4 linked regions of the Diceros bicornis minor genome follow. The protein of the gene in region 1 purifies or fractionates together with the protein of each later gene. This does not show direct contact. Links are inferred from orthologs where the notes say so. Each region holds a gene or a part of one and is shown in the gene's direction. Other genes may lie near its edges.

Evidence for each region.
Region 2: the proteins of CANX (region 1) and TECR purify together in Homo sapiens (affinity purification with mass spectrometry; 3 studies listed by BioGRID and IntAct, with this or other methods). This does not show direct contact. The link is inferred for Diceros bicornis minor from reciprocal best matches to the Homo sapiens genes CANX and TECR.
Region 3: the proteins of CANX (region 1) and WWOX purify together in Homo sapiens (affinity purification with mass spectrometry; 3 studies listed by BioGRID and IntAct, with this or other methods). This does not show direct contact. The link is inferred for Diceros bicornis minor from reciprocal best matches to the Homo sapiens genes CANX and WWOX.
Region 4: the proteins of CANX (region 1) and EMC1 purify together in Homo sapiens (affinity purification with mass spectrometry; 4 studies listed by BioGRID and IntAct, with this or other methods). This does not show direct contact. The link is inferred for Diceros bicornis minor from reciprocal best matches to the Homo sapiens genes CANX and EMC1.

Annotation. Positions count from the first base shown.
Region 1 is NC_080740.1:92,651,378-92,658,371, forward strand, and holds the start of CANX (calnexin), read left to right. Parts: upstream 1-3,992; 5' UTR 3,993-4,128; intron 4,129-4,424; 5' UTR 4,425-4,490; intron 4,491-5,186; exon of another isoform or gene 5,187-5,319; intron 5,320-6,994. UniProt on the Homo sapiens protein: Calcium-binding protein that interacts with newly synthesized monoglucosylated glycoproteins in the endoplasmic reticulum. It may act in assisting protein assembly and/or in the retention within the ER of unassembled protein subunits.
Region 2 is NC_080769.1:3,349,504-3,357,381, reverse strand, and holds the start of TECR (very-long-chain enoyl-CoA reductase), read left to right. Parts: upstream 1-4,878; 5' UTR 4,879-4,893; coding exon 4,894-5,073; intron 5,074-5,700; coding exon 5,701-5,752; intron 5,753-6,082; coding exon 6,083-6,127; intron 6,128-6,223; coding exon 6,224-6,327; intron 6,328-6,401; coding exon 6,402-6,517; intron 6,518-6,594; coding exon 6,595-6,700; intron 6,701-6,832; coding exon 6,833-6,905; intron 6,906-7,007; coding exon 7,008-7,051; intron 7,052-7,122; coding exon 7,123-7,180; intron 7,181-7,267; coding exon 7,268-7,356; intron 7,357-7,702; coding exon 7,703-7,748; intron 7,749-7,823; coding exon 7,824-7,878. UniProt on the Homo sapiens protein: Involved in both the production of very long-chain fatty acids for sphingolipid synthesis and the degradation of the sphingosine moiety in sphingolipids through the sphingosine 1-phosphate metabolic pathway.
Region 3 is NC_080771.1:28,084,158-28,091,688, forward strand, and holds the start of WWOX (WW domain-containing oxidoreductase), read left to right. Parts: upstream 1-4,529; 5' UTR 4,530-4,768; coding exon 4,769-4,875; intron 4,876-7,531. UniProt on the Homo sapiens protein: Putative oxidoreductase. Acts as a tumor suppressor and plays a role in apoptosis. Required for normal bone development. May function synergistically with p53/TP53 to control genotoxic stress-induced cell death.
Region 4 is NC_080752.1:36,356,556-36,364,413, reverse strand, and holds the start of EMC1 (ER membrane protein complex subunit 1), read left to right. Parts: upstream 1-4,845; 5' UTR 4,846-4,860; coding exon 4,861-4,955; intron 4,956-7,284; coding exon 7,285-7,409; intron 7,410-7,858. Other genes in the region: MRTO4 (mRNA turnover protein 4 homolog), read right to left, coding at 18-94, 465-616, 896-963, 1,245-1,326, 2,252-2,355, 3,280-3,338, 4,517-4,544. UniProt on the Homo sapiens protein: Part of the endoplasmic reticulum membrane protein complex (EMC) that enables the energy-independent insertion into endoplasmic reticulum membranes of newly synthesized membrane proteins.

The DNA of each region.
Region 1 (6,994 bases):
AGAAAAATGGACAAATGACGTGAATAGACAGTTCACAAAGGAAGAAATATATATGGTTAATGAATGTGAGAAATGTTAACTTCACTGTAATAAAAGAAACTTCAGTTAACGTAATTACATACCTCAATTTGACAATGCCAGATGAGTGTGGGTACAGAGAAATGACCGTTACTGACCTAATCAGTAAGAAAGGACTGGATGGGTATGTGGGGTGCTCCCTCTGGCTGGGTGCCCACTTTCTCCTTTAAGCAAAGGAAGGTGAGGATGAGCAAGGATGAGGGTGGCTTTTCAGGAAGGTGGGAGGGGCAAGTTGTTATAAGAAGTAGCTGGATAGGAAAGACAAATTGGTCAACAATTTTGTTCACAGTGGTTTTAAATATATATTTTATCTTTTTTTGGAAAATTAAGTATAAAAGCAGAAATTTATTTGATCCTTTATTGAAAAAATAATATACACATGTTATTAAAAAGGCTCCTTCTCACTTCCAGGGTTTCAGGCCCCCTCTTCAGCATCAATCACTCTTAGCAGTTCTCCTGCATCTTTCCAGTAAGCTTGTTTGTCCAAGTTCATATTTATGAAAATATATCTCCCTTTGAAACATGAAAGGAAACATTACTCAGTGCTTTTTCACATAACACTAAATCTTGGCAATCATTTTATATCAGTACATATATGTGCTCACTGCATGCTCTCCAGCAGGACAGAACCATTACATGGATGACCTATATTCTATTTAACCAGTTCTCTATGATGATAGGTTAGGTTGTCTCTAGGATTGGGGTACTACAGACAATGCTGCAATGCACATCATTGTGTATACTTTTAAATACAAGTACAGTATGTGGATATATTCCATCTATCTATTGTATCTATCTATCTTATCTATCTATATATCTAGATATATTCCCAGGGGTGGAATTGCTGGGCAAAACGTATGTGCATTTTAAAATGGATATAAACAGTTTATTTTGAAAACCATCTTACAGATTATATCATAAGGTTAAAATACATTCAGCCCAATCTCCCATACCTTCTACATCTGAGAACTATAAAATGATTATTTCTTTTAATGAAATACTCTAACACCTCAAAGTACCCTTTGAATTATCAAGAAAAGATCTCATACCCTTTTCCAGCTGGAACCATAGAGGATGTAGAAGAGAAGAAAAAGGCAAAAGCTTGAGAAAAAGTGGAGGAATTTCACAGAGCTGACAATCAAGCACCTGAGAAAGAAAATTGCCCAAAAGATGCTTCAAAAGGCAAGGCAGGGGCCGGCCCCATGGCTTAGCGGTTGAGTACGCGCACTCCGCTGCTGGCGGCCTGGGTTCGGATCGTGGGTGTGCACCGACACACCGCTTCTCTGGCCATGCTAAGGCCACGTCCCACGTACAGCAACTGGAAGGATGTGCAACTATGACATACAACTATCTACTGGGGCTTTGGGGAAAAAAAAAAGGAGGAGGATTGGCAATAGATGTTAGCTCAGAGCTGGTCTTCCTCAGCAAAAAGAGGAGGATTAGCATGGATGTTAGCTCAGGGCTGATCTTCCCCCCCACCAAAAAAAGGAAAGGCAAGGCGGAAGTTTGTCTACAAAAAAGCTACTCTACACTTCACCTCCTGTCACCCAGGCTCATACTCTGAGTGTCTGCTTTGGTTCCTCTCTTTCCCCAGCCTGAGTCCATTCTTCAGTATCAACATTTAATGCTTTTGTTTCTATACAACCTGCCATTCCCTAATCCTGCCCTTGAATCAACTGCAAGAAGTAGCTTCCTAACTGGCCTCATAGCTGGTAGTCTCTCTCAGAACTTTCAGAACTCCCTGGAATAATATTAACATAATGCTTCCTAAATATCTAAATCATGACCTAAATCCAAAATCTAAACTATTTCCCTACAAACTCTTTGGCCAGGCCTTGAAGGCCTGCTCCTAACCCGACTCTGGAGCTGACTTCCCATCACTTTCACGAACACCTTTCTCCAGCCAAAACACTCGTGTGTGCGGTGTCCCCAGACATACGATACCCATTTTCCTGCCTTTGTATACGCTGGTCCCTCGTGTAAAGAAGCCTGCCTCCAACTCTCCACCTATAGAAATCCTGCATATCCTACTAGGTCCAGCTTAAGTCTTACCTCTTTACCTGTCCATTCTAGACAAAAGCAGTTCCTTCCAGCTCAAAACCCCATTAAATTTTCTTCAGGATCACCATCTTTTAGCATTTACCTTTGCTGGAGGAGCTCTTTTGCTCACACAGTTTCTGTAACTACCTTTTAAGCTCATTGTCCAGAACATGTGGCATCCAGAATATTATTCTGCCTTGAATATCCACTTCCCCAGGTAAACAGGAAAGCAAAATTCTCTTACACAAATTTGGGGGTTGAGAGTTGGAGAATACTAAACTCATGCAAACACCAATCTCTGACCTCTCTTTTCCCCTTCCAGGTAGTGGGAGGGAATAAAGCTGGATCCTAGTGATAAATAAATGGCAAGCAATAGGATATATCAGAGCATATGAGGAAGCCATTTGGGGTAAAACTAGTTCTGCCTGAGTTTGTTTTTCCAACAAGGCCTGTCGCCTTTAAACATGCATTGTGTATCCACTTTACCATGTCCCAAAGAGAAGAGTAAATGCCCTTAACATAAGAATGCAACTTCCCCCACATTGGCATTTCCTTAAGGATAAGTATTTCTCACTAGGCTAGGATTTGATTGCTGCACTCATCCTGTGACTGCCCAGATTGAGACAGCAGACCTGCTCCCCACTGTGTCCAACAGCTATTCCGCCAGGGCTATTCTGGCAGGGCAATCTTGTGGCTATTGTAAAAGGGACTTTGCCATCATATGTGATACATGTTCTTTGACAGTATATAACGCTCTGTATACCCCACTTCTTTGGTGGCCTTCCTTCCTTGGGGAAGGAAGGCCCAGGCTATGGTCCTCAAAAGTTGGCTCATAATAAACTCACCCCAATTTTGAATTATAGATTATGGATTATTTACATGGACACTAGGATAGGTGATACACCTACTGGTTCTAGTTTTTTCCACCCTAGTATTCAGACTTCGGGTAACCAAATGACAGACCGAGACCAGGACCTATAAACGTCTAGGAAAACCTAGGCCACTTCCATTTTCTGAGGTTCTAAGCATATTGAAAACTGAAGATGTGCTAAAAGTGGGTTACAAAAATTGTAGTGTGTTTGAAACCTTTCCATCGCACCACTGTTTTCTCCTAATCCTGTCGGGTGTCTGTGCCCTTATGTCTAATCTAACTTCAGGAAACATCACAAATTGAAAGTTGAAATAACCTTGGATTATAGTATTCTAGACTGGGTTTTATGTTGGGTAATGAGGCCGCTGCAGTCTGCTGGGCCCAGAGCGATGACTCTGCAGGAACGCCGGCGCCTTGTTACACAGCGCTGTGCACGACTCCAGGCCGGCCCGCAGAGCCGCTGCGGCTTCCGTCCGGGCCCCGCACTAGCAGAATCGGGGAACTGGCCCTTCCCGAAGGCCCTCCCGACCTCCCACCTCTTCTGCCGGCTGCCATTTGCCCCCTCAGCGAAGGGAACGGGATGCCCGGCCCGGGGACCGGGGCCCGGGTCCAGGCACCAGCAGGGTCCGGACCACACACGATGGGACAAAACGCCAGGCACAGCGCCCACTAGGGCACCACGGCAACCAGGCGCGGGAACGTCCCGTGGACCGGCCCACCCCAGGGCGCGCGCGCCCGCAGTTCCCTATTCCGCTGCGGCCCGCCCCTTTCTTCCTGCCCAACCAAGAGCCACTTCCTGCCTCACTCCTAGCCAATCCCCACACTCCACGAAGAAGAGCCCTAGGGGGCGTACGGGAAGGTGCATAGAGCGAAGGCCGCGCCGACCAACCGGATCTCGGAGCTTGCGCGGGGGGGCGGGATTTGGTGCCGGCCGTAACTACTCAGGAGCGAGGGGCGGACGCAGGGCCGGGCTTAGCGCACTGAGGCTCGCTCGCGCGGCGGCAGCGGTAGCCGAGGCCTCTTGCATCTGCGGCACGTGACGGTCGGGCCGCGTCTGCCGCTGTCTCGGTTGCGGCGCGGGGCCAGGTGTGCGGGCGGGAGAAGGAGCGGGTGCCGCCGGCGGTTCCCGGAGGCTCGAGGTGAGACGGGAGGCCTGCGCGCGTCCTCGGTCTCTGAGGACCCTGGGGCCTGGGTGCGCGGCGTCGCGGCCGAGGGGCCAGGGGGGCCGGGCGTGGCCTGGCCAAGGGGTCGGGCTGGGTTTCCAGGGCCCAGGCCCCGGCGGAGGCGCCGGCCGTGAGCTCGAGGCCGAACCTGGGCCACTTCGGTTGGGGCGCCGGGCCGAGGCCGCGCGCCGGCGTCGGGAGGCGTGGCAGGTGCCCTGGAGCGTCTCTTGACCTCTGGGAAAGCTAACTTCGTCCCATGGCTTTGCTTCTAGGGCTTTCGTAGGCCTTTTGCTGGTTGCCTGGGAAGCCGCGAGGTGCGCTGGAGTAACCGGGTAAAGGTCTGGAGTGGGCTTGGGCCTAGTCGGTACCCCTAGGGTTGGGGAAAGGTGATATCGGACCGAGAGAGAGTATTTAGGATTAGCATTACAGGTTCAATATCTGAAAATAAACCGCAAAGCGAAGACTGGACCCTAGCACCCTGAAGAGTATGGAGAATGTACTAGAACACGCAGTGGTTGGAACACTTACGTCCTAACATTTACACCTAATCGGGAGTGGGGAGTAATCCAGTTGGAAATTCACCGGACATTAAAAGCAGGAAAGCACCGAAAAGCTCACTGTGGGTAGGTCGTTTTATAGTGGAGGAAACTGAGGCCCAGAGCTCTGATATGACTGGCCCAAGGTCATGCGGTTAATTTTATGATCCCGTTGGGGTTATGGTTGAGAGCTAGACAGTTTTGGTGTAGTGGTTAAAGTGAAGGTCCTTGTTCAAGTCCTTCAGTAGGTCATTTGTTGCTATGTGAACTTGGACAATTTACTTACCCTTTGTGCCCCAGTTCTCCCTAAGTAATGGATATAATAATAGCTGATGGAGTTGTTAGAATTAAATTAAAATGTGTATAAAATAGGATAGGGAAATCTGATACATATTAACTGCTCCATAAATAATGATTGCAATAAATAATTGTAGTTTGAATAGTTTGTCTACTACACTGACATCCTACTCTTTGAGTTGGGTAAGTCCTATTTTGCAGGACCTGAAGTCACATTTATGGTGATGGGAGGAAGAAACTGGACCTAGTGGATTAACTGTTGGGCATGACACAAGTGATTGCTGGTTGAGGGAAGTTAAACTGAGCTGAACATTAAAAGCTTGGGAGGACAAAGGTGAACCACAGTTAAGTCTCTTTACCTCTAATTTAGGAAATGGAATATTTTGCTGAGTTTTTTAATAAGTAGAGTTTTGGGGGTTTTTTTAAGGGAAGAATTCTATTAATCTTTAAAAGCATTCTGTATCATCTTTTTCCAGCCATATTTGAGGGTCATAAATAGAATCAATGCCATGTTGTGCATTTGCTATAATTATATTTAGAGCAGAGGTAAAGAACTGTGGGAGAGTTCTCCTTTGCACCAGCCAGGGTGCACATGCAAACAAGCCAGGTAACAGGATCATGAGAAGGCAGGAGTGAACTGTGTACTGGAGTGAATGTATCACACAACAGACACATTTTCTGACCTATCTGAAAATGGGTGTCAGCATCCCTCCCCACATTACTATCTTAACTTGTCAGTTCAACTAGTACATTATCTTCAAGGACCACAAGGGGTAAACATTTTGACAGAAGTAACTATAGTTTTGGCAGTCAGGCTATTGCATCCTTTTAGTTACAGAGTTCACTTTGCCCTGCGAGATAGCTTAAGGGAATGAAGTGGTAGTTGGTAAGCATAAATGTAGGCTCAACAGGCTTGAATTCCAGGCCCAGTGTGGTAACTAGTTTATGAACCACCTTGGTTTCCACATCTTTAAAATGGAAATGAGAAGTCTCCTGGATCCTTTACTATTAGGGGGCTATTGAGAGGGACAAATAAGATGGCGAACATGATACTACTTTGAATAGTGTAATGAACTGTGCAAATAGAAGAATTGGCAGCTCATAAAAACTCCTAGGAAATAATAAAAGTTCTTGAACGTAGTTGTAGCCTATATAGCCTACTCTAGAACTTTGTCAGGAAAGTGCTGATGAATGCTTTGTTACCTGCAGCAGATTTGCTTTTAAATTAATGTTAACTGTGAGCTGTGAAAATTATTTGGAGAATTTTGTTTTTTAAAGAATTTTTGAGAATCTTCAGCAATATGTTTTGAGTATTCACATCTTAAACTTACTTAGTTTATAGCAAAAAAGAAAGTGCTATGGAAAAACCAATTCTAATGTTCCTGTCAATGAGAAACAAAATTCAAAACTGTAGACAAGGCAGTATATGTCTATTTTTAAATGGCTAAGCATTTACAGTGGTCTTTACTTGTTTTCCTCTTTAGGTGCTTTTATTTTTTGACTAGATGCACATGTAGTAAAATCAGAAGGTGCAAAAAGTAGTAGTAAAATGGTTTGTCTGTGACTGGAGTCAAATTCCTTTTAACTGGTTCCTTTCCAATGTAAGACTTAAAATTTCTTATTTGCCTTAAAATTCAGAGTTTTAAATTTTATTTATTTTATTTTTTTCCCCCAAAGCCCCGGTAGATAGTTGTATGTCATAGCTGCACATCCTTCTAGTTGCTGTTTGTGGGATGCGGCCTCAGCGTGGCCGGAGAAGCAATGCGTTGGTGCGCGCCCGGGATCCGAATCCGGGCCACCAGCAGCGGAGCGCGTGCACTTAACTGCTAAGCCACGGGGCCGGCCCAAAACTCAGAGTTTTAGAACCATTAAAACTTAAATGGTGTCTCTGGGCAATACCTAGTAATAGTAGAAATCACTGCTTATGTTGAGCATGTACTGTAAGCCAGGCACTGTCATAAGCACTTTACGTGCATTTTGTTATACAACCACCCTAAGAAGTATATATA
Region 2 (7,878 bases), on another chromosome or scaffold:
CAGAGCTGGAGTTAGTGTCCTTCTCTTGGTCCCATGCTGGCCCCATCCTGCACCGGGCGGTCTGCTCACAAGCGCCTTGGGACTGGCGGAGCCTGAGCCCTCCAGGGGGGGAGTGCCGTCCGAGGCCACGAGGGGGCAGTGGAGAGCATGGTGGCCTGGCGCTGGGGAGTTGGAGTGGCCGTGGCTGCCGCCCGCACATGTCCTGCTATTGTTAGGGTTCGGGCTCCCTGTCAGCAGCTGGGTGGGGCAGCACTGTCACCTCTCTGACCTTGGCGTCCTGTGGTTGCGCCCTCATGGTCACGGTCATGGTTTGGGAGAAGGGGCCTGGCCCCTTGCGCGTCTGCCAGTGTTGTTTTGCTAGTATGGGTCTCGTAATATTTATTCTTTGTAAGATTTGTTCCAGGCTGGGTACCTTTATGAACTTTTTGGGGCTGTTGTTATTGTCATCTCTGTAAATCTTACGGTAACCCTGTGAGATGGCAGGTGGGGCAGCCCACTCTGTAGAGGAGGAAATGGAGGCTCAGAGAGCTTGGGTAACTTGTCCAGGGCCACACAGCTAGGAAGTAGGTGAGTCTTTTTGACCTCAGAGCCTGGGGAGTGTGAGCACAGCTGAGGAGGCCCTGGAGGCCTGTTCGTGAGGGAGCCGCTGCCCTGTGGCACCACCTGTGAGGGCCCGGCCGCGGGGAGCCCCTCTGTGTTGGGATTGCTGCTGAAGAAGGGCAGCGAGCTTCACCAGAGCCGGCGCCGGCTCAGTCACGGACCGTTCCTCAGTGAGCAGTGCCCCAGAGCCTGGGAGGAGGCCCGGCAGCGCGAGTTCTGGCCTCATGGGGTCACCGGAGCCGGGCGGGCGTGTCTGCGGGCCTCACAGAGGCTTCCCTGGGGTGAGGCCCCGGCCTGTGACAGGGACTGCCCTGGTAGCTCCCGAGTGTGGGGAAGGGGAGCCAGGGAGGGGCTGAGGGGGCCGGCCCATGTGCCTCTCGCAGGCGTCCACCGAGCACGGCTCCTGGCCAGGCTCTGTTCTGGGGGCCAGAAACGACTGAGAACAGGCCAGTCCCCCCTTGGGAGTGACGTCCAGTGAGAGGCACTGTGTAAGTCGATGGTCGGGAAGGGCCGCTGAGGGGTCATCCGAAGGCTGGAGGAGGTGTGGGAGGGGCCTGTGGGGTCTGGGGAGAGCGGTCTAGGCAGTGGGAGCAGCATGTGCAAAGGCCCTGAGTGTCTCCTGCGGTTGCATAACCGCTCTGGCTTTCTCGTCTGCTGGACAGGGACTGTCCCGGGAGCCTCGCCTCCCTGGGGCTCTGGGCACCGGCGCTGCTCGGAGCAGGTGCTAGAACGAGGGCGCCCTGTCCTGCTGCCGCTCCCTCCGTCTGCAGCATCTGTGCTTCCACGGAGACAGCGAAGACCTGGGCCCCGCTCGGCAGTGGCTCCGGGTGCTCCCCCGGGCTGGGGACCGCTGCAGCCTGACCCTGCCCCTCCTGCAGGGTGGGCTTGGGCCCGCCCCAGTCCCCCCCTTCCCGCCCTGACCTCGTGCTGCCACGAGCTGCAGCTGGCTGGGCCCGAACCCGGGCCTCTGGGTGAGAACCCTCCCATCGCAGAGGCACCGCCTTGTCCTCGTCCTCTGTGTCCCCTGTGCCTGAGGCTGCAGCGCCACACCCCTGCCTGCAGGACCTCTGGCCAGCGACCCTACAGGCCCCACTTCATGCGGCGGTTCAACAGATCGCTCCCCAGTCCCCAGCCCTTCCCTCCAGGGGGCAGGAGGGCTGTCCCTGCTCCTTCCCTCGGCGCCTCCCGGGGTGGGCCGGGGCTGCCGCCGCCCTTGTGTGCTCAGGGCCCTACCTGGGGCCCAGCTCAGCAGCCGCTGCACCTCCCTCCTGGGCCCTGAGGGCGCGTGCGCCGCAAGCACAGGGCGTGGGGTGACAGCGGGCAGGGAGGGTGCAGTGGAGGGGAACCCCAGGGACTGAAGACTGGGGAGCACACACGGGGTCCCCCACGTTAGTCCCTCAGTTGTGGGGGTGGGGGAGGGACCTCTGCAGCTCCCTGCCCTGGGACTTTTTTTTAATGAATGATTGGGGCCTGTTTATTAGACCCCCATTTAAAACAACTTATTGATGTGAAATTCACATGATGTAAAATTAACCCTTTAAAAGTGAATAGCTCAGCAGCATGTGGTACATTCACAGTATTTTGCCACCACCACCTCTGTCTAGTTCCAGAACATTCCATCACCCCAAAAGAAGACCAGGTCCTCGTTAGCCACTCTCTCCCACCCCCAGCCCCTGGCAACCACCCATTTGCTTTCTGTCTCTCTGGATTTACCTTTTCTGGACATTTCACATAAATACGTGTCTGGCTTCTTTCACCTAGCGTAATTTTCTTTCCCCACCTCACGTATCTTTCACTTAACTTTTTATTTTGAAATAATTATAGAGGCACAGGGAATTGCAAAAATCATATGGAGAGACCTGGGTACTCCCCATAGGCCTTTCAGACATCTCTGGGGTTTGGGGGATTTGGGGGCAGGAAATGGAAGTGAGGACCCATTCTCCCTCGGCAGCCCTGAGCTGGGGCACCCCCACCCCGAGGGCGGGCTTACCTCTGGGAGGGCGCCGGCCGCTCCGCTCCTCTCCTGTCTTCTCCTCTCTTCTCCTCTCCTCTCCTCTCCCTCCTCCGGCCTCGGGCGGGCCTGGGTGCAGGGCCCCTCTCCCGGCTGCCCTCCTGCCGCCCTGAGTCCTCTCCCGGCGGCTGGTCGGGGCCCCCGACGGCGCTGCTCTCCTCTGGGCTCTGGTGCGGTGTCCCGGCAGGGCAGAGGGTAGGGTTTCAGCCCCCCCGCAGCTGGCCACCGCGGAGAGGGGCTGGTTGTATTTTAAGCTGCTGAGTGGTTCAGCAGGAACTCGGGGGCCTGCTCTCCTGGTCGGCTGGTGCTGTCCTCCTGCGGGCCCGTGGGCTCCGAGGGCGTGGGCGCTGCCCGAGGGGACCCAGGAACTATTAGTATACCTGCAGCCACGTGGCAGGCCCTGTGCCCGCCTGGGACCTGCTGTCCCAGCCCTTCCTGGCACATTCCTCGTGTGTCCCTCCCCCTCCCACGAGTCCTCTTGGTGTGGCCAGAACTCCGGGCAGTATGGCCAGCTCTCCCTTTCTGGCTCCTCGTTTGGCTTTGTCATCCCTGTGGCTCGGAGGGTTCAGTCGCCTGCCTCCCAGGCCACATGGCCGGTCAGGGCCCACAGCTGGCGGCGGACGCTCTCTCGCCGGTAACAGTGGGCAGCATCGGCTAGGACTTCTCAGGTGCCGGGCCGTGTCCTGCCCTCCCGTCCACGAATGTGGGGCGGGCGCAGCAGAGACTGGCCCCAGCGGGAGGGTGAGGGTCTGCCCCCGGCCCTGCCCTGCGCTTTGTCGCAGCGCCACGGCCTCCTCAGCCCGTCCTCAGGGCCCGAGGCCTTGGGGCACTTGCACCTGTCAGGCACCACGCCGGTGCCTCGCTCGCACTGTCTCACGGAACCCGACTGCCCTGGGGTCACACGCCTCCCCGCACTGTCCCTGGCTGAGGCTCAGAGAGAAGTGACTGCGTGGCGAGGCTGGCTTCGGGGAGCCCCCCTGTGCTCCCAGCACCCCCTCCTCTCCCACTGTCCCTGGGCGTGTGTGAGGGGAGCCCTTCCCTTCGGGGGGGCTCTGGGCGCCGGGGAAGTGGGCCTGCGCTCAGAGAGCCCTGGTGGGCCCAGCCCTGGTTTTCGTGTCCTGCTCCTCCTCCCCATGCTGCCGCTGACCGAGGGCCCCCCAGGGGCTCTGGGCGTGGGGAGCGTCCTCAGTACCTGCCGGCCAGAGGCTAGCTTGGGGTCAGACCCAGCCTTGCCTGCCACAGCCCCGTGTCTGATAGGATCCAGGCCAAGCCCTGCACGGGGCACTCGGGCCTGCTGTGATCCACCCACGCCCCTCCTCTGACCTGCTTGGGGGCTCCCTCCCTCCCAGCACTGCCCCTCTGCACCCCCACTGTCTGGCCCCTGCCTGGGTGCTCAGGTAGAGAGGCTGGGCAGGCTCCTCTCTCAGGGCCTGGCGCTGGCCTGGCCCGTGGACCCAGGAGGTGCAGGGAGGCCCAGGCTGTGTGCTCTGGGCTTTGAGGAGCTCAGGGTCTGGATGAGGGTGCTGTGTTGGGCTGACACTCGGGAGGATGGCCCTGAAGGTGGCCTGGAGCAAGGCGTGGGTGAGAAATGGGTGGAGAGGGAGGTCGGGAGCAAGTTGCCGAGGCCTCACCAGCTAAGGCGGGCGTGTCTGCTGGAAACTTGCGGGTTCCCGAGCCTTTCCACACTTAGAGTCTCTGTGCACCAGCAACTCCGGAATCTGTCACCTCCCTGGAAACACAAATGCACGAGGAAAGTAATCCCGAGTGGCTTTTACAGCTCAGGAGGGGAAACGGATGCTCTATCTCACAGGTTCTCAGAATAGCTGGGATTTCTCCAAGCCCAGTGAGCTCTGCGGGCCTGAGCTGGACACTCACCAGCTCACCCTCCTCCTGGCACTGGGCCCCCACCCGTGGGCAGCGGGGCTGGGAGGTGCCTTCACCCCCATCTCTGGGCATCTCCCTGTCCCCGGGGCTGTTGGGGGCCGTGTCCACTGGAAAGCCTCACTTTCAGGGCCATCCGGCCCTGGGGGGCTGCCCCAGGCCCCCAGTGGTCTGTGTGTGGTCCTGGGGCCCGGTCTGGGGCAGTTTTATATTTAGCCGTGGCTGCTGGGCCACTGGAGTGGCGTCTGCAGAGCGCCAGGGCAGGCGCGGGCTTTTCTCCAGCACCGCGGCAGAATGTGATTGCGCCAGCCCGGCCCAGAGCCGCTCGCGTGGGGCGGTCCGTGGTGGGGGCTGACGGCCGGCAGCTGGGGCGCTGGCCACGGCCGGCAGAGCGGGGTAGCATGGATCTGAGCATGAGCTTGGTGGCCCGGGAGGCCAGCCAGGGCCTCGGCCCCGGCGTCAATGGCCTCCCCCGGCCCACGCCCCCTAAGGCGGCCAAGAAGCCTAAAAAGGCTGTTCTCTTCTTCGAGGTGGAGATTCTGGACGCGAAGACGCGAGAGAAGCTGTGCTTCCTGGACAAGGTGGGACCGTGGCGCTGGCTGCGCTGGGCCCGGGACCCACTCTTGCTGGGGCTCCTGGCCCCGAGGGAGAGGGGAGTCCCTCCACCCTGGGTCATGACTCCCCACCCCTGCCTCTCAGGGTGCATGAGGGGTACTGTCCCTGCCCAGCCAGTCGGCCCCCAGGGTAGAGTGGGCAGTCCTGGCCCTGGGTGTGGCCGGGAGCTGGCTTCCTCGGGGCCTGGGAAGGAGGAGGCGTCCTGAGACCTGCCCCTGCCGAGGCCAGGCCAGGGGAAGGGGCTTGTTCCGTCCCAGGGGAGGCCTGGCCTGGACAGAGGGCCTTTACTCTGGGGCAGCTGTGGGTGGAGGGGAGAGGCAGAGATGCAGGTCCCGCTTCCCGTGCTCAAACCGTCTCCCAGCCAGGCGGGGCGTCCTGGCTGCCTGGTAAAACCAGGCCCTCAGGCCCACGGCTGTCCCATTCTGGCACGGGCCTTGCTGCTCCTCTCTGCCATGCAGGTGGGGGCCTGGACCCCCACACCCCCCTCCTGTAGCAGCTGCCCTGACCCCAGTCCATGCCCTCCAGGAGGGATCCTGGATCCTGGTGTGGACTCCCCCCAGGGCTGAGGTCCCTGTGGCCTGTGCTTCCCCCAGGTGGAGCCCCAGGCCACCATTGCTGAGATCAAGAACCTTTTCACCAAGAGCCGTAAGTCCAGGGCCCAGCCCACTGCCTCCTGCGACCTCTCTGAGCAGGGGCCTCTGGGTGGAACCGGTCCTGCCCGCCTCTTGCCCAGGGCCTGCAGAGATGGCCCCAGTGTGGCCCGGCTTCCCTGGGACGGGTGCCACCGTGTGGCCATCGGCAGGAATGCCCTTGCTGGGCTTTGGGAAGGGCAGCACCTGCCTTTGTCCTGCTCGTCTGGGCTGTGTCCGGGAGCCACACAGGCCTCACAGGCCTTGTCTTCTGAGGGGCCGGGAGCAGCTGGGGGTCCCTGGGCCCCGCCAGGCTGTGCACGGTGATGCTCCGCTCTCCCCGCAGATCCGCAGTGGTACCCTGCCCGCCAGTCCCTCCGCCTGGACCCCAGTGAGTACAGCTGTCCCTCCACCGCCGCTGGGCCCCCCCCCGGGGGCAGTGGGCGGAGGCCTGGACGCCCCTGAACCCTGGCCTGCCTCTCCACAGAGGGCAAGTCCCTGAAGGACGAGGATGTCCTGCAGAAGCTGCCTGTGGGCACCACGGCCACACTTTACTTCCGGGACCTGGGGGCCCAGATCAGCTGGGTGACGGTGAGTCCCACCCCCGCCCTGGCCTCCTCTGCCATCAGCCACATCAGGGTAACTCCCTGCTCCCCTGCCCCCAGGTCTTCCTGACAGAGTACGCGGGGCCCCTTTTCATCTACCTGCTCTTCTACTTCCGGGTGCCCTTCATCTACGGCCACAGATACGACTTCACGTCCAGCAGGCACACGGTGGTGCAGTGAGTGGGGCCGGGCGGGAGGGCGGCGGCGGCGGGGGGCCTGCTGGACCTCCCCGCTGAGCCGGCTCCCCCTACAGCCTGGCCTGCATCTGCCACTCATTCCACTACGTCAAGCGCCTGTTGGAGACGCTCTTCGTGCACCGCTTCTCCCACGGCACCATGCCCTTGCGCAACATCTTCAAGGTGAGCGCCCGCCCGCCCCCGCCCCCGCCCCCCGCGGCCCTCTGTTGGACCCCAGACACGCCCCCCCAACCCCGCGCACCCGCGGGCCCTCCGCTGGACCTCAGGCCTCCACCTGGCCCTGTTCCCTTTCAGAACTGCACTTACTACTGGGGCTTCGCCGCCTGGATGGCCTATTACATCAACCACCCTCTCTACACGCCCCCCAGTAAGTGGCCTCCGACCCCGCTCACCCCCGCCCCCGCGGGCCTCCCTTCCCCGCCACCGCCTCTCCCTCACGGGCCTCCCCTCCCCTGTGCTTCCCCTTCAGCCTATGGAGCTCAGCAGGTTAAACTAGCGCTCGCCATCTTTGTGGTAAGCGGGCTGGGCCAGATGACGGGTGGGGGGCGTCTGGGGGCTCCCGGCTGACGCTGCTCCTCCGACAGATCTGCCAACTTGGCAACTTCTCCATCCACATGGCCCTGCGCGACCTGCGGCCAGCTGGTGAGTGGCCTGGTGGGGTGGGGGGGTCGGGCTGGGCAGGCCGCGCTGTGGGGGGGCGGGTCTCACCCCTCGCATCCTGCCCGCCAGGGTCCAAGACCAGGAAGATTCCCTACCCCACCAAGAACCCCTTCACGTGGCTCTTCCTGCTGGTGTCCTGCCCCAACTACACCTACGAGGTGAGGGTCTGCCAGCCCTTCCGCCGGCCCCGGGGTCCCCTGTGGAGAGCCCGCCTCTGGTAGGGCACCTGGCTCCGCTGCTGCTTTTGCGCTCTGACCTTGGAGGATCTGGCGATGCAGAGTCTGCAGCTCCCTGGGGGTTGGGGGGCGTCAGGCTCGGCGTACAGCTGTTGGCGGCCGAGGGGCAGCTTCATCACGGACCCCCTTATTCGAGGTCCCTCTAGCACTGGCCTTCGGTTCCCACCCCCACACGGAAAGTAAGGGTTGGGGGAGGCGGCCCAGGGGTGGGCGGGGCCTCGGGAACAGGGGCGCCGCCCGCCCGCCCTCACCCGCGCTCTGCCCGCAGGTGGGGTCCTGGATCGGCTTTGCTATCATGACCCAGTGTCTCCCAGGTGAGCTGGCTGCCCGCCCCCGACGCCCTGCCCGGCTGGCTGCGCGGCCCCCCTGACACCCGCTCTGCCCCACAGTGGCCCTCTTCTCCCTGGTGGGCTTCACGCAGATGACCATCTGGGCCAAGGGCAA
Region 3 (7,531 bases), on another chromosome or scaffold:
AAAATAGATCGCCAGAAAATAAAAGGACAGATGTCATCTCATAGAAAATAAAAGGATAGTAATATATTTAAGTGGAACATATTTAGCATTATGAAAAATTCATTTCTTTTATCTTATTTTTCTCACTTTCCCATGGAGGAGTGAAAACCTCTTGGCATCCATCTGAGGACCAGCACTGGGGACCCCCTGACCTGGAAAGGCAGCTCACAGGGCAGTTGGCTGAGAGCAGGAATCTGGGGCTAATGCCCTTATTTGGATTCTAATCTCAGCTCCTGCTGGCTCTTGCTCACCCAGTGACCTTGGGCAAATTACTTAGATTCCTTGTGCTCCAGCTTCCTCATCTGTAAAAAGTGGACTGATAATAATGGAATAAGGAAAGTTAAGGGACTTGGCCACTGTCACACACAGCTTGTAAGTGACATTAGCTGAATTGGGTTCCAAAGATAAATTACAGGAAACCCTCCCCAAAACTCTCTCCATCTCTGCAGACCTATAGGTCTTAGTTCGAACGTCTTTTAGAACCCTCAAGCCAGAGTTCTTTGTGTGTCTGTTGGTTTTATCCTAATTGATTTCTGGCTACAGGGTGTGTTTCGTTTTTCTTGGTTTCTCTCAGAGACATAGCATAATTTTTTTTCATTTGTGTGTTTGAATGAATAAGTAAAATACAAACGTACCTCCCTATGTAAGGCCGCATTGACCAGAAAGAGTTTTGCCTCGACTCCTGTTCAATATTCTTCCTTATTGGTTACCTCCCATGAGAAGTTTATTAGAAGAGACAGAAGCTTCCCAGGTCTCATTAGCATATTGAGTTTGGCATCAAAACATGAGGCTTAATTTCCCAAAGAATGATGACTTAAGTTGAAGCAGGTTGTGCAGAATTGTTGGCGTGTTTGTGCGCATGTAGGGGAGGGAAATGACCATCATTGCAGTAACGACAATGAACTAAAGAAACGTGGCTCCAGGAACGTTACACTCAAACTTGTGCCCGCTGCACGTGTAAGGCCAAACTGCTTTCAGCAAAAGCTGATCAAATCTTGTCATCATAACGTCAGTTATTGCAGAAGTGAGCAATCAGTAAGAACAAATGCAGAAATCCTTCTCAGGAATTGGCTTTAGCCTTTAAAATCGTGGGCAGACAGGGCCATCTGCTGTGTGGTTGTATTACCACACATTGAGATGTTTTATTTTAACTTCCTCACTAATCACAATGTGATTCAGCTGGCTTTACAAAAACAAACCATTCTTTAGGTTTTCTTAGGGTTACCTGTCGAGGACCCTGGCTCATTGCCAAATTTAAGGCTCCTCAAACCCATAATAATCTTATAAGCTAAACAGGGCTCTCCCTTTGATATATCCTTGTCAGACCAAAGTCAAAGCCACGAGCAAGCTCAAGTCCAAGAGAAGCAGAAACTACGACTAGAGGAAGCCAGTAAGGGGAGAGCAGAACAACATAGCATGTGAGCAAAGAGGAAGGAGCAAGAGACAGGAAACCTACCAGAGACAAAGAAATGGGCTGTCCTTGGGCTCTCTCAGGTCCCGATAACATCCTAATTTAGCTCAGGTGCACCCTGGTCATAAACTTTTGAATGAACCTCTGTTGCTTGCAATCGAATAAGCAAAACTAAAACTGTGTCAGTTTTAATGAAGCCAAAAGACTATGAATCCTAGAATCTGGCATGCCTACTCTCATGAATCCCCAAATACCTGTTTGTCTCCTGTCTTTAACCTTCTGATAGAGGCCACGGATAAGATGCAGGGAGAGAGGAATAAAATGAGGTCATCATAACCATTTGGGACCATTATTTGTGTCTGGGCCACCCAGCCAGACTTCTGTCAGCCCATGTCTCTCACCTGCGGAGGGACTAGGAATTGGAGAGGCAGTGCCCTCAGACAGCCTTAGAGAACTTGGTGATCAGAACCAGCAGGGTCTGAGTACCACCTTGTGAATCTCTGGCCAGAAACGGGCTCTTCACTGCCTTAATTAAATCCATATCAGTGTTTGATTCATGAGTTAGTAATCACCTGACTCACTGTCATTGTGGATCAGTGGTTCTCAGGTAGGGGCAGAACTGGCAACATCTGGAGACATTTTTGGTTGTTACAGCTGGGGGAGGGGGACATTACTGGCATCTAGTAGGTAGAGGCCAGAGATGCTGCTAGACATCCTACAACGCACGGGACAGTCCCCTTCAACAAAGAATTATCTGGCCCCAGATGTCAGGAGTGCTGAGGTTGAGAAGCCCTGGAGGGAATTGTGAAAGTGGTAGGAATAGCAGAGGGCTGACCCAGAAGTTGAGAATTCTTTCAAGGAGACCACTACCCAGTCTGAGGAAGACACCATACTATATCACTACCTGTGGCCTGATGCCAAGTCACAGGCAACAGGTGCCAGTAGAGGCTCTGGTGAGGGCAACCCAAGATAAATCTAAGCAGTCAATCCTTGAGAAGCCGAGCAGAGGCTACGGATAATGATCGGAGAAACTGAGGCTAATCAGTTTGACTCCATTCATCCTCCTCCTCACCATTAGGGGACTTCGTGACCTAATTTCCTATTCATATCAAAGGAATAAGTTGGCTTTGGTGACGGGCAAAGGATTAAGCCAAGGTGAGCAGAAGAGCAGCAAATTAATGGTAGCTTATTTAAATGCACATGGATTTGGAAAGAGTGATAATACCAAAGGTCTGAGGTGGGATAATGGGCCTGTTAACTAAAACATGCTTTTGTTAAGCTAGCTTTTGGTTGGGCAACTTCAAAGGAAAGTGAGTGTCTCCCCTCAAGAGCATGCAGAATGGGGGGCGGCCCCATGGCTTACCAGTTAAGTGCACATGCTCCGCAACTGGCGGCCAGGGGTTCAGATCCCCGGCGCACACCTACGCATTGCTTCTCTGGCCACGCTGAGGCCGCGTCCCACATACAGCAACTAGAAGGATGTGGAACTATGACATACAACTATCTACTGGGGCTTTGGGGGGAAAAAAAGAAAAAGGAGGAGGATTGGCAATAGATGTTAGCTCAGAGCCAGTCTTCCTCAGCAAAAAGAGGAGGATTAGCATGGATGTTAGCTCAGGGCTGATCTTCCTCACACACACACACAAAAAAAGAGCATGCAGAGTGGGAATCCCAAAGCAATATAAATTTCAGGACTTGAAGAAGACAAAAAGCAGCATTGCCCCCCATCCCCAACCTTTTAAAATATGTAATGTTGCTGATGGAGGCTTGCATTCTTCTGAGACCTAGGCAGCAGAAATCACCGTCAGTAGATTTCCCTGTAATGCTGAGCTGGGGGAGCAAGCTCCAAGCAGGGAATGTTCTGGAAAACTTCTTAGGCAAGGCCAAGTTGAAGATAGGCTTCTGGTTTTTGACACAGGATGTTTATAGGATAATTGTAGGTTCTCCAAGAGGACTTAAGAGAGGCCACCTTGCAAACCGGGAATTTTGTTTTGAACTACGTTGATTTATAGAGGGCCAAACCTAAGGAATCACATTCATGCACTCATTTGTTTATTCACTTCATTCAATAAACTTGTAAGTCTAGGCATTTTACTAACTGCTAGCCATAGAAAGAAGCATAGGGCCTGCCTCCTGGCATAGCGGTTAAGTGCGCGTGCTCTATTGCTGGCCACCTGGTTTGGGATCCCCAGCACACAATGACGCACCACTTGCCAAGCCATGCTGTGGCAGCGTCCCACAAAAAGTGGAGGAAGATGGGCATGGATGTTAGCCCAGGGCCAGTCTTCCTCAGCAAAAAGAGGATTGGCATGGATGTTAGCTCAGGGCTGATCTTCCTCACAAAAAAATAAATAAAAATAAAAAAAACGGAAAGAAGCATAGATGTGGTTCTCTGTCAGTTTAGTCGGGAGCACGCAGACATAAACAACTGTAATACAGCAATAGGGTCTCAACTGCCAGTTATTCCCCTGCTCTGCTTTCCTCTAATTCCACACTTCACAGAGGTGCCCAGTACTTGAAAGAGAGAGTCTAGGAATTCCTGGCCCAGAATTAAGCGCTCTATAAACGTTAGTCCTTTATCATCAACAGAACTATGCTGAGGCTAGGAGAAACTTCTTCAAGACTGGGTCATCAGAACGTGCGGGAATTTGCATTTTTAACGTTCTGCACGTTTTATAACGTTGTGTTTCCAAGCACAACAAAGTTTGGGAATCATCCTTCGTGGTGGGAAGCTCCGCAAGGTGTTTGAGCAGAAACGTTCACTATTCATAATGCCCTAAAAGAAGCAGAGACTAGAGCCCATAAAACCAGTATCAGCATTTCCCGTCTCTGCTCCACGGTCTGGTCGGGCGGGGCCTAGACCACATTTCCCAGGATGCCCCGTTGCTGGAGCGCCTGCCTGATTGGGCAGAACAATGCGGAAGTGATTACAGGTCGCCCAGCAACAGGCGGAGTCCAGGACCGTGACTGGATGCCCACGCCCCTTCCCTGAGGCGGGGAGCTTGACGAAGCTCAGCTCCATCTGCAGAGTCACACAACGTTCCCCGGGTTTTACTTCCAGCCGAGTGGCAGTGCGGCCTCCTCGGCGCTTTCACCGCCGTCTTTCTCAGGCCCCGCCCCTTTTTACGCTGGAAGCTGTGAAACTCCGGAGACTGGATTACGGCTACCGAGTGGGCTGAGCGGCTCTGGGCGGCGTAGTGCGCAGGCGCGAGCGTTTGGATCCCGACGCGCGGCGCTCGGTTGAAGCGGGAGTGAGTTCCTAGGCGCCGAGACCCGGCAGCGGGCGGGCGAGCGAGCGAGCGTCCGAGCTTTGCCGCCATGGCAGCCCTGCAGTACGCGGGCCTGGACGACACGGACAGCGAGGACGAGCTGCCCCCGGGCTGGGAGCAGAGAACCACCAAGGACGGCTGGGTTTATTATGCCAAGTAAGGGGGCGGCAGGGGGGCCCCCGGGCCTGGAACGCACCTGGAACCTGGCCTCACGTGCCTGGACCTTGCGCTGCCGTCGGCCGCCACTTGCGCGGGGAGGGGCGCGGGCCTGCGCTCCAGGCTGGCGAGGGCGGGCGAAGCGGCGGTGATGGTTAAAGAGCTTCAGAGGGAAGGCTCCCAGGGTCCCGGCCCCTCTGGGCCGTGGGTCAAGCCGGGGTCGCCTGGCAGCGCTCTGGCGCGCCCTCTGCTGTTCAGGAGGCGGCGCTGCACGGTGCAGTGATAGCAAAGCAGCCTTATCCCCTCCCACCAAAAAATCAGAACAAAAATGCGGTTGTCCAGCTCCCTCCTTAAGGGTCTGGGGTGGGGACCTAGGAGTATGTATTTTTAACAGATGTTCTAATATAGCTCTGTGTGTATATATATATATGTGTGTGTGTGTGTTGTATATATATATAAAGTATGGCTTCACAATAGTTTCTGGGAAAGTTTTGGAAACACCAGCAGACCCTTTCTCCTATCACTTACTCTGTGACCTGGGACCAATGAAAGAACGCTCAGTTTTCCCATCTGTAAAATGGGTTGATGGAGGTTTGGTTCAGGCTCTGTACATAAAGCATTTAGCACAGGTCTAATAAGTACTCTATGCTCAATCACTATTAACCTGTCCCGCTGTTTCTGCAGCTGTGACAGCACCTCCTAGGCCTGATATTTGGATTGCCTGGGGACTGTCATAAATACAGATTTCAGGTCTTCACAGAGACCCTCACACAGCAGACACCCAATGTGCAGAATGTGTATTTTTTAAGTTTTTCAGATGAGGCTGGTTATCACTTGGCTTTGAGGAACATGGATGTAAATCAGGGATTTTCAACATCTGGGAAACTTAAAAAATATCTTTTCCTGGGTCACACCTCTAGAGAGTCTCATTTAATTGGTCCCCCTCCCCCCAATGGTATGTTGTAAGATCTTCCCAGGGGTCTCATCTACCCAAGGGTGTGAACCACTGCTGCGCTTGGTGGCTTGGTAGAAAGAAAAACAGAAAAAAAAAGACCTGGTGAGTTCATTCATTCAAGACACATTGGGATCTTATCACGTATCAGGCTCTTTGCTGGGCGCTGGTTATACTGAGATGGATAAGACCCAGTTGTCACCCTTAATGAGTGTCCAGACTTATCGGGAAGAGTGACACATAGTAGGTGGTCCCGGTGCAGCGTGTGTAGTGGGTGCATGCAGCGAGTGGGTGGGTGGGTGAGGTGGCCTGGGAGGCCTGGCACGTGAGGTGTGCCTTAGAGCAGCAATTGAGGTGGGCAGGTCAAGGGGGCAGGAGGGCCCCAGGTAGAGGAAACAGAGCAGAGGCCCCAGGCGTGGCCTGTGTGGCGGTGCGGGACCGTGAAGACTGAGGCAGGGGAGGAAGGACGCAGTTTACGGAGGCCCTTCCGCCTCCTGGAGGAGCTAGGGTCTGTCGTCACGACCCAGGAGTCTCCTGAAGGTTTGGAGCCAGGGAGTGAGGAGGTTTGTGTCTAGAAAGATGATTTCTGCTCTGGAGAATTGAAGGGACAACTGGGCAGGGAGCCCTTAGGCTGATGCGGGCTCCGGGCAGCTCCTGAATGGGCCCTTGTTCTTCCCTCTGCCTGGAGATCTTTGCGTGAAGAGCTTTGTCATCCCTGGGAGCTGAGCTTAAACGTCACAGCCCGGGAGAGCTTCCCTGGCACCCCCACCCCCCCACCCCGCACCCCACCGCGCACCCCTCACCCACCGCCTGTTGTCTTGTCTGTACTTATCTTAGCCATGCTCTTCCTGGTTTGCGGCTCTCTCTCCCCCTTGGATTGTAAACTTCATGAGGGTGGCGACCTTTTCTTGTTCACTGGTTGCTTAGTGCCCGGGAGCCGTAGAATAAATCCACGTGGAATGAGTATATTAGCTCATCTAGTGAAGGTTTACTGTGGCCTCCATGGGCAGGAGGCACACTCAGCCCCGGGAACACAAAGATGCACATGACCCACTTCCTGGCTATTGGAGCCCTTCTCTGCCTCCCACTCTCTGGGGCCTTTCCTTGTTCAGGCCACTTGCCCCGGAGGCTCCCTGGCTTCCCTTCAGGTTTGCTTGGAGCCTGGCGTTAGGTCTGGAGGCTCCCTGTGCCGGCTCGCCTTGCCTTGTCCCCTCTGCACCTTATGTTGTACCACCTTTCTCACCTGCTTCCTTCCGGCATGGTGTCCAGAGTCTGGGCTTGGGGCTGTTCCTCCACTAAATAAGGTCTGCACACCCCAGCCAGCTCCTCTGAGAGCGTCTGAGGAGCCCATGGCCGGGGGACTCAGTAATGCATATATCGTCTCCAGAAAGCTCCCCCCACCAGTGTTTGATGTCTCAAACTGGCCTGTCTGGCCCCACTGTTTACACTGACTGTAGTGACAAGGCCTGGCTGGCTCCCATCTGGGGGCACCTCTCTCCAGTCCCGCTGGCCCTCTGTTCTTTGGCTCTTGGAGCTGAAGGGTGCCTCTGATAGATCCTGTCCCTGGATTCCCAGCAGTCTTCCTTGATCTCTCCTGACCTGCAAGCATCCTGGCCCTTCTTTTCCCTCCTAACTCTGGAAGGGCCACTTGTCCTCTTGGGGTTTGGGAAGCTTAGCTAGTGGGCTTTCAGAAGATGACCCTTC
Region 4 (7,858 bases), on another chromosome or scaffold:
AGAGGGGGCGGACTCACCAGGATGCGGGCCTGCTCTGGGGTCAGCACGTCGCCCTCTTTGCACACCTCGTAGTCGGACAGCAGGGTCACCACGCCTGCAAAGAAGGGGGCCCCTGAGCAGTTCCTGCTGACAGAGCTTCCTGCCCACTGCCCAGAGCTAGGAGCAAGCTGGCTGGCCCCCCGCACATGCCAGGGCAGCTCAGTCAGACGTGTCCAGCTGCCTGGGAGGGTTTTCAGGGCAGTGACCACCTCCCTCATTGTCCTGCAGTGCTGTGTTCTGGCTCTAAGTCGCTGTCCACTTCCCCCCAGCTATGAGGCGGGCACTCTCGGCCCCATCTTCAAATGAGAGAATGGAGGCTGGGAAAACCCACTCAGCCAGGACGGGGAGGAGGGCCCGTCGGGCTTGGGGGCCTGTGCTCTTGACCTCGAAGCTGGGACCTTTCAGCTCCAGGGACTTCCCCGTACCTCTCCTGAGGGCAGTGGGCAGGCCCAGCTGCCTCAGCTGTGGCTCCATGGAGTGGGGGAACTGCTCCAGGGGCCCTGGGTCCAGGCTCACGGTGAACGCTGCTTTGTTCCCAGCTCGGGCGTAGTCCATCTCTGTGTATTTGGTGAACCACCTGAAGGGAAAGAGAAGTGGAAGGAGGGCAGGTTCCTGACTGGCCCACCCGCCCACCTACAATCAGGCTCCCCGTGGGTCTCGCCTCCCCTCCCCGTCCATCTCAGCTGCTGGCTGGCAGCCAGCCTGGAGCACCGTGCTGGAGAATAACGACTCAGTAAACTGGGTTCTAGGAAGCAGTTTTTCCTTGATGCCTCCACTGTACAAAGCCCCTAGATTATTCCTTCCCTAGAGTCCTCACCAATCTTTCTCTTCCTTACCACTCCTCAAAAACACTTACTCGTTCACTTCCTCCTTAGTGCGATTGGTGAAAAGGAGACCAACTTCACCCCTCAACTTCTTGCTGACCTAGGAAACAAACAGAGGATCAGCTCGGTCACATTAGAGCAGTGGGTCTCACCTGGGGACAATTTTGCACCCCCCTCCCCTCAGGGGACCTCTGGCAACATCGGAGACATTTCTGGTTGTCCCAGCTGGGAGGGGCACTACTCGCTGTGTCTGGAGGTTAAAGGAGAACCGGAGCTTTAAGCCAGGCCTCGCCCTCCCTGATCCCGGCCGGGCCTGATGGCCGGAGAGTGTGTTGTGAGCAGCGGCCTGGCCCCGGCCCCTCCGGAGAGGGCCAGCCTCACCTGGTGCAGGTTGTCTTTGTACTCGTCAGATGGGCTTCGACCCAAGGCCACCATCATCACTTTGTTTTTGCCAAAGAACATCCTACAGAGAAAAGGAGGCCTCCGTGAAGGGGGTGCCCTACCCAGCCCTCCCCTCAGTTAAGTGCTTGCCAGCTCTAGTCCGCGGGGGCCCAAGCCCAGGCCTAGGCTGTTCTGTAGCGGGAGGGGTGGCCAAAGGCTCCCACTTCTTCCATGTGGCCCTACCCGCTCTGTCCCCAGCCCAGGATCTCTTTCATTATTTTCCTGCCACAGACCTGGCATTCACAATATTTTGTCTACCAACCCAGTGTGAGTGTTATGTGAACCCGCCCCCCGTGCTGCCCTGGCTGGAAGTGCAGACGAGGCACGTGCCATGGTCTGAACCAGAGCTGGTGCAGCAAGAGACAACCGGAGTCATCACCTGCACTGTCACAAATCCAGCCCAAGGACAGGTACTCGCCAAAGGGCTCATGCAGCCTGCTCTCGGGTCATTGTGTGCCTCCTGGAGCACATCAGCCATGGGGATAGGTTCTAAGACACGCATCGTTAGGCGATCTCATCATTGTGCGGATATCAGTGTTCTTACACACACCTAGATGGCATAATCGACCTCGCATCTAAGCTATGTGGTACTAATCTTATGGGACTACTGTTATGTATGTGGTCCGTTGTTGACTGAAACATTGTTGGACAGCACGTGACTGTATTGACATTCTAAAACTGACGAGATGTTCCTAAAAGGATCAGACCCCAGGGTGAAGGGAGCCCCTTCTCCTGGAGGGATCACTGATCAGACATCCCTTAAGCAACTATCAAGTCCTGTCCCTCAAGAAGCTCAGTGCAAGACCAGCTTTAATGCTGAAAAAGCGCCCTTCAGTGGGAGTGGCCCTTTGCCCTTATTAAGGTACCAGGTACCCAAGGGTCAATACTTGCCCCTGTGCTTTGAGAGCAGCCTGGCCCCTTCCCCACTCTTCCCACTGCCTGCTCACCGGCTGTGCTTCCAGGCGTTCCGGATGTCCTTCAGCTTGTTGTTCCTCATGTTGGCCACGGAGAAGATGAAAAGGTACTTGTACGTGTCCACACATTTCCGAAGCTGTGGGACAATTCATGGGGCTCTGGAGTTCAAGGGGCAGCACGAGTTGGGCAATACTCTGGCCTCAGATGGGAAAGAATCTGCTCTAGATTCTACAACTGTGGAAGTTGAGAGTTGCAGGCCTCTAATCTAGTTGTCTCCTCCTCACCTCCATTACTGAAGCCAGGATCCCTAAGGATAGGGGCTCCCCTGAGGCCAAGCAGACATGACCTCAAAGGGCAGGGGAAGCTGAGCCATGGGTCAAGATCCCAGTCTTCCCACATTCCTGACTTATCTGTGGCCAACAGTGGAATCCACCACTTCTCTTTGCCTTGTCCATTAACTGCTGACAACCTAAAAATACTCAGCTACGCTAGGAAGGCTCCTGCTAGCTGGAAGCATAGAAAGCCTCCTTATTTACTCATAAGGGGAGGCAGCTCAACGGCCCTTCTCCACCCCCACGTTGCTGGCTGCAGCCACGATGAGGTGGTCTCAAAGACACAATCTGTGCGGGAGGAGATGCTGCTGTCAGCCAGCCTGCAGCCCTGAAGCAGTGCAGACAGCGGGCTGGTGCATTTGCCCACAACTGGTAACTCCCCAGCTTTTTGACATGGAACAGGCTAGCAAATCTCTGTGAGCTTCAGCTACCCAACTGCATAACAGTGATAACGTCACCTCGCATCTACCCAGAGGGATGTGGTGAGGATGGAGTGAACAACACATACGAAATGCTCAGCACCGAGCAGGGCATAGAGTAAGAGCTCAGTGAAAGCTGGAAATCATTGCTGTGGGATGATTGGTGGTGCTGCTACTGGTGGAAAAAGGCCTGCATCGGCAGCTGTTTTTGTTTTTTTTTTAACAGTATGTTTCCCTGACAAACAGCCCTACACCCACCTTTATAAACCAAACACAAGATCCGAAAAAATAAAAAGAATGAGCTATTACCTCTTCGATCAGGTTCTGTTTCAGTTCCAAGCCTTTCTTGGCAGTTTTGGTTAAGGAAACTAATACAAAGAAGAAAAAGGAGATGATGAAAAACAAATCTGGATGTCCTGGAGACTCCTTTTCTTCTCCCTGGCTGCTCAGCTGGACCGAGCCACTCTGAGGAAGGGCAGCAAGGCTGATGCAGCCACTACTGGCACACAAGGCTATTCCTGGGGTCCTCAGAGTGCCTACTCTCTAGCATTCCTGAGCCTGGAGACCCTTTGATATATTTTCTGTTGCTTAGACAAACTAGGTGCTCCTCAGCCCTCTTAGGCTAACCTAAAAACCCCTACTGAAGTGTGGGGGCAGGGCTTGTTCCTGCTCTTGGAGCGCTGTAAGCGGCAGACCTAGACTTGGAACACCATTCCCCGAAGGTAACTCCATGGGTTGCTTATTCTCTTTCTTCAGGTTTCTGTTCATTTGTCACCTCATCAGAGAGACCTTTTCTGGCTACGTTACACAAAATAATATCACCTCTTTCTGTTACTTTTTCTCCATGGGACTCACGACTGTCTGACTTGATGAGACTTTTGGTATTTGGGGGAGATATGTATCCCATGACTAAAACGTTAAGTGCGATGAGTGCTCTAGGCCTTTCTTGTTGTAACTGCTATATCCTCCAACGCCTAGAGAGTTCCAGGCCCCCTAAATATTCGTTGAGTGAATGTGCTGGAGAGCCAGGGTGGGAGAAGCCAAAATTGTAAAGATGGTCAGGAATGGTTTCTTAGAAGGTGCCCTATGAACTGAGAACCGAGAAAGAACCAGCCATGTGAAGGTCAGAGCATAAAGGCACGCCAGACAGAGAGAACTGCAAGTAACAAAGGGCAGGGAATAAGCCTGTGCTGAACGAAAGGAAAGGCGGCCAGGGTGGCGGGAGCGCAGAGCTCAGAGAGTGAAATTGAGGTGGGAGGGGTGGGCCAAAGCGAGATGGGGCGCAGCCTGCGTGTTCAGAGGCTGTTTGTCGGCCCAGTCGGCCTTGGAAGAGCTCTTAAGGAGCTCTCCGATCCCTTGACCCCACCACGCTCCAGCCCTCTCCGATGCTCCCGCCGCTCCGACGCCCCCATCCGAGCTCGCAGCGAGCCCGCGGAGCTCCTCGCCGAGGTCCCGGCGTCCCATTCCGTCCTCTCGAAGCACCCCACCGCAGCTGACAGCCAGCCGGCGGCACTCCCCACCGAGTCCCAAAGCCCCCTTCGCCCACCTTTCTTATCGCGCTTAGATTTGGGCATCTCGTTGCAGGCACGTGCGGCGGAAGACGGTGCTGCCTGTTAGGACCCCGGCGGCGCGGGGAACTCTGGGATGGCCCTCGGGGGCTGCCCTCGCGCGTGCCTGACTCAATCTGCGCTACGGCCCCCTCCTCCTGCTGGCCACCGCCTGCGCTCTTCCCCGCGTCTCCAGGGCGATTTCTCGCCCGTCCGGGGTCCTCCGAGTCCTGAGCGCCCCACCCGGGGCTTCGCGTGCCGTCCCAACTCTATGGTTCCGCGGAGGCGGGGCCTGCGGCGCGGTGCATGCCGGGCCGGCGGCGGGCGGGACCGGCCTCCCATCATGGCGGCGGCGGCGGCTTCCCGGTTCTGGTTCTGGGCTGCCCTGCTTGTGCCTGCGGCCGCGGTCTACGAAGACCAAGTGGGCAAGTTTGATTGGTGCGTACGTGTGGGGCCTCTTCGGGAAATATGTGGCTATTTTCCCAGCACCTGTCTTCTCTCGGCTAAAGGGAGGGAGGTTATCGTTATCATGTGGCAGAATTGGCTGCGTAACTTGCGGAGCCCAGTGCAGAATGAAAATGTGGGATCTCTCGTTCAAAAATTAAGAGTTTTAAGGTGGCGACAGCACAGCATGCAACCAAGTGTTGGGGGCGCTTCTAAGCCGGTCCTTGTGTAACTATACAGGTCGCAAGCCGATGCAGCCGGCCCTGCTGTTCAGACACGCTCGGGGTTCTGGTCAGAGGTCACTGTTCCCTCCTCCCCCGCCGGGCCCCGCTTCTGTGGCCGTCAGGTTTCTGATCCACTGTGTGTCACAAGTCGACAGCCTGCAGTGAACTCTCATTCCTCCTCGAATTGGCATCTCTTGGGCGTGTGAACAGGGGCTTGGGTTTTATTGAGTCCTAAACTGAGTCCTCTTTCTCCTCCCTTCCAGCTCAGGACAGGGCCGTCCAATACTCACATCAGCCCCTAAGTGCCATTCATTCATTCACTCACTCATTCACCCACTCACTCACTCACCCATCCCTTCCTTAAGTCCCCGGAGTTGGCTTGCTTTTGTTTGAATCTCAATTTTGTGACGTAAAGGTTGTGTGATCTTGGGAAGAGACTTAACCACTCTGTGCCTGGTTCTTTATCTGTAAGATGGGTTTACAAATAGCTCATTACTTCCTACAGTAGCTGTAAGGATGAATGAGATAATTCCTTTAAATTACTTAGCACAATACCTGGCTCCTTGAGTGCAGTCAGTAAATGTTGCTCATTATTACTAATCAGGGAACACGATCCTTCAGAGCCCAGCTCAGCTATCTTCTCCTCTCTGAAGTCTTTTGTGTCTCAGACAAATTGATTGATGTATTTGTTGAGTGCCTGTGGTGGGACAGATGTTCAGATGCTGTGGATACAGAGATGGGAAGGAGCTCAGTCTAGCGGGGCAGATATATAAGTATGTGATATAAGACGGTGTAACAAATGCAACGTAAGTCACGTTTTTAATGATGTGGGAAAATGTGTAGTATGATATGTATATATTACACGTATGCACAATATGTGATATTCCAATTTAACAGAATATTAGGTATATGCAATTTACAAATTGAGAAATAAATAGAAGGAAATACACCAAAACATTAAAAAGTTTATGGTCGTGGTATTTTAGGCATTTTTCATTTTATTTTTTATACTTTTATGTATTTTTCACATTTTCTACAGCGAGCAGGCATTACTTTTATAGTCCAGATAAAGGCAGCACTTAGTTTAAAAGAGAGCATGGGATTTAGAGTCAGAAGGTCTTAGTTTTGTGGTCTAGTTCTGACAGAGATTAGTTGATGTCAGTAGACATTGATTTACTTACCTGTAAAATGAGAGTAATAATGTTTGTTCTACATACTTCAGATTGTTCAGTGCGTACAACGAAAAAGTATGTGAAAATGCAGGTAGAAACTGTCAAATGTCATATAAGCCTGTCTCTCTACCGGGCTTAGTCTTTTCTTTTTTTGAAAAAGTAGAGCAAACAACATCACAACAAGAGAAATTCAGTGTAAACGTCACGTGTGTTTAATTAGCTAGTGGTTGCCGTACTTCTTAATTAAAAAGAATGTGCAAGCACCTCCTGTGTATTTGATAGTATCCATGCAAAGCTAGTATGTTCCATTTATGCTTAGGTAGGAGTGTTGAAAGTGATGGGATATATTCCAAGGAAAATATGAACAATGAGTCAAATGGATCCTGAACATGGTGTGAGCTAGAAAAGGCTGTAGAGAACAAAAGGCCTGACCCGGTCTCTGGAGTTTTGTTGGGAAATTGGCATCATTTTTTCTCCAGAGGTCGTGAAAGTAGAAGGGAAAGTTGGATTGTATGCTCGTTGACAACAGGGTTTGTGTCTCTTCTGTCGCATGTAACGTGAGTGTCTAGTCCCACTATTATCGAATACAGAGAGGACTGTAATGTTTGTTCTAGTGGGATTTAGGCCACGTGCTCTCTTGGGTGTCACTTATCTCGAGCAAAATATGTGCTTGCATTTAGAAGGAAGACTGTCGCGTTTCTTATCTGCTAGGGGGTATTCTCTCTTCTTGTTCCCTTTGCTTCTGACTACATTGCATAGAAATCTTGCTTTTGGTCAGATCTGTTTGTTAACAAACATTTCTCATACGCTCTAAGATAGGTATGATGGTGATAACCTCATGTATTTGTGCAGTTGCCTTTTTCCAAAGTATTTTCTGCAGTGATGGTTTGGGCCCCTTACATTTATTTCCCTGTTCTCTCTCCCCAGGAGACAGCAGTATGTTGGGAAGCTCAAGTTTGCCTCCTTGGAGTTTTCCCCTGGATCCAAGAAGTTGGTTGTGGCCACAGAGAAAAATGTGATTGCAGCATTGAATTCTCGGACCGGGGAGATCTGTGAGTGAACTGTGCAGACGTTAGCTCGAGATGGAATGGCTGACGTAGTGGATCCAGAAGGCCTGTGGCTTGTGACGTCTGCCTGGCTGATTCCCAAATTAGGGATGAGTCGGCCAAAAGAGGGATCTCTTACTGGATTCTGATACCTTTTTTTTTAATGTCTTGTCATCTTTGAATACTTAAGATACTCCTATAACTGGCCTTTGTAGTTTATTCCGTAAGCCCAGGTCTTGAGTGTTCTTGAATAAGATATTGCTGCAAAAAACGCATTGATCAGTTTTGCAGTAAAGATTGGAATATCCTCCGTAAATTACTTACACTGCTTTTATGGATGTTTTCGGGCACTAAAATCATGGAAATGTAATTTGTCACTATTTTTCTGGTGAATTGTATGGATTTTGTTAATTTTGTCATTGTTTATTTATGTTTGATGGTAGTGGGTGGGCAGA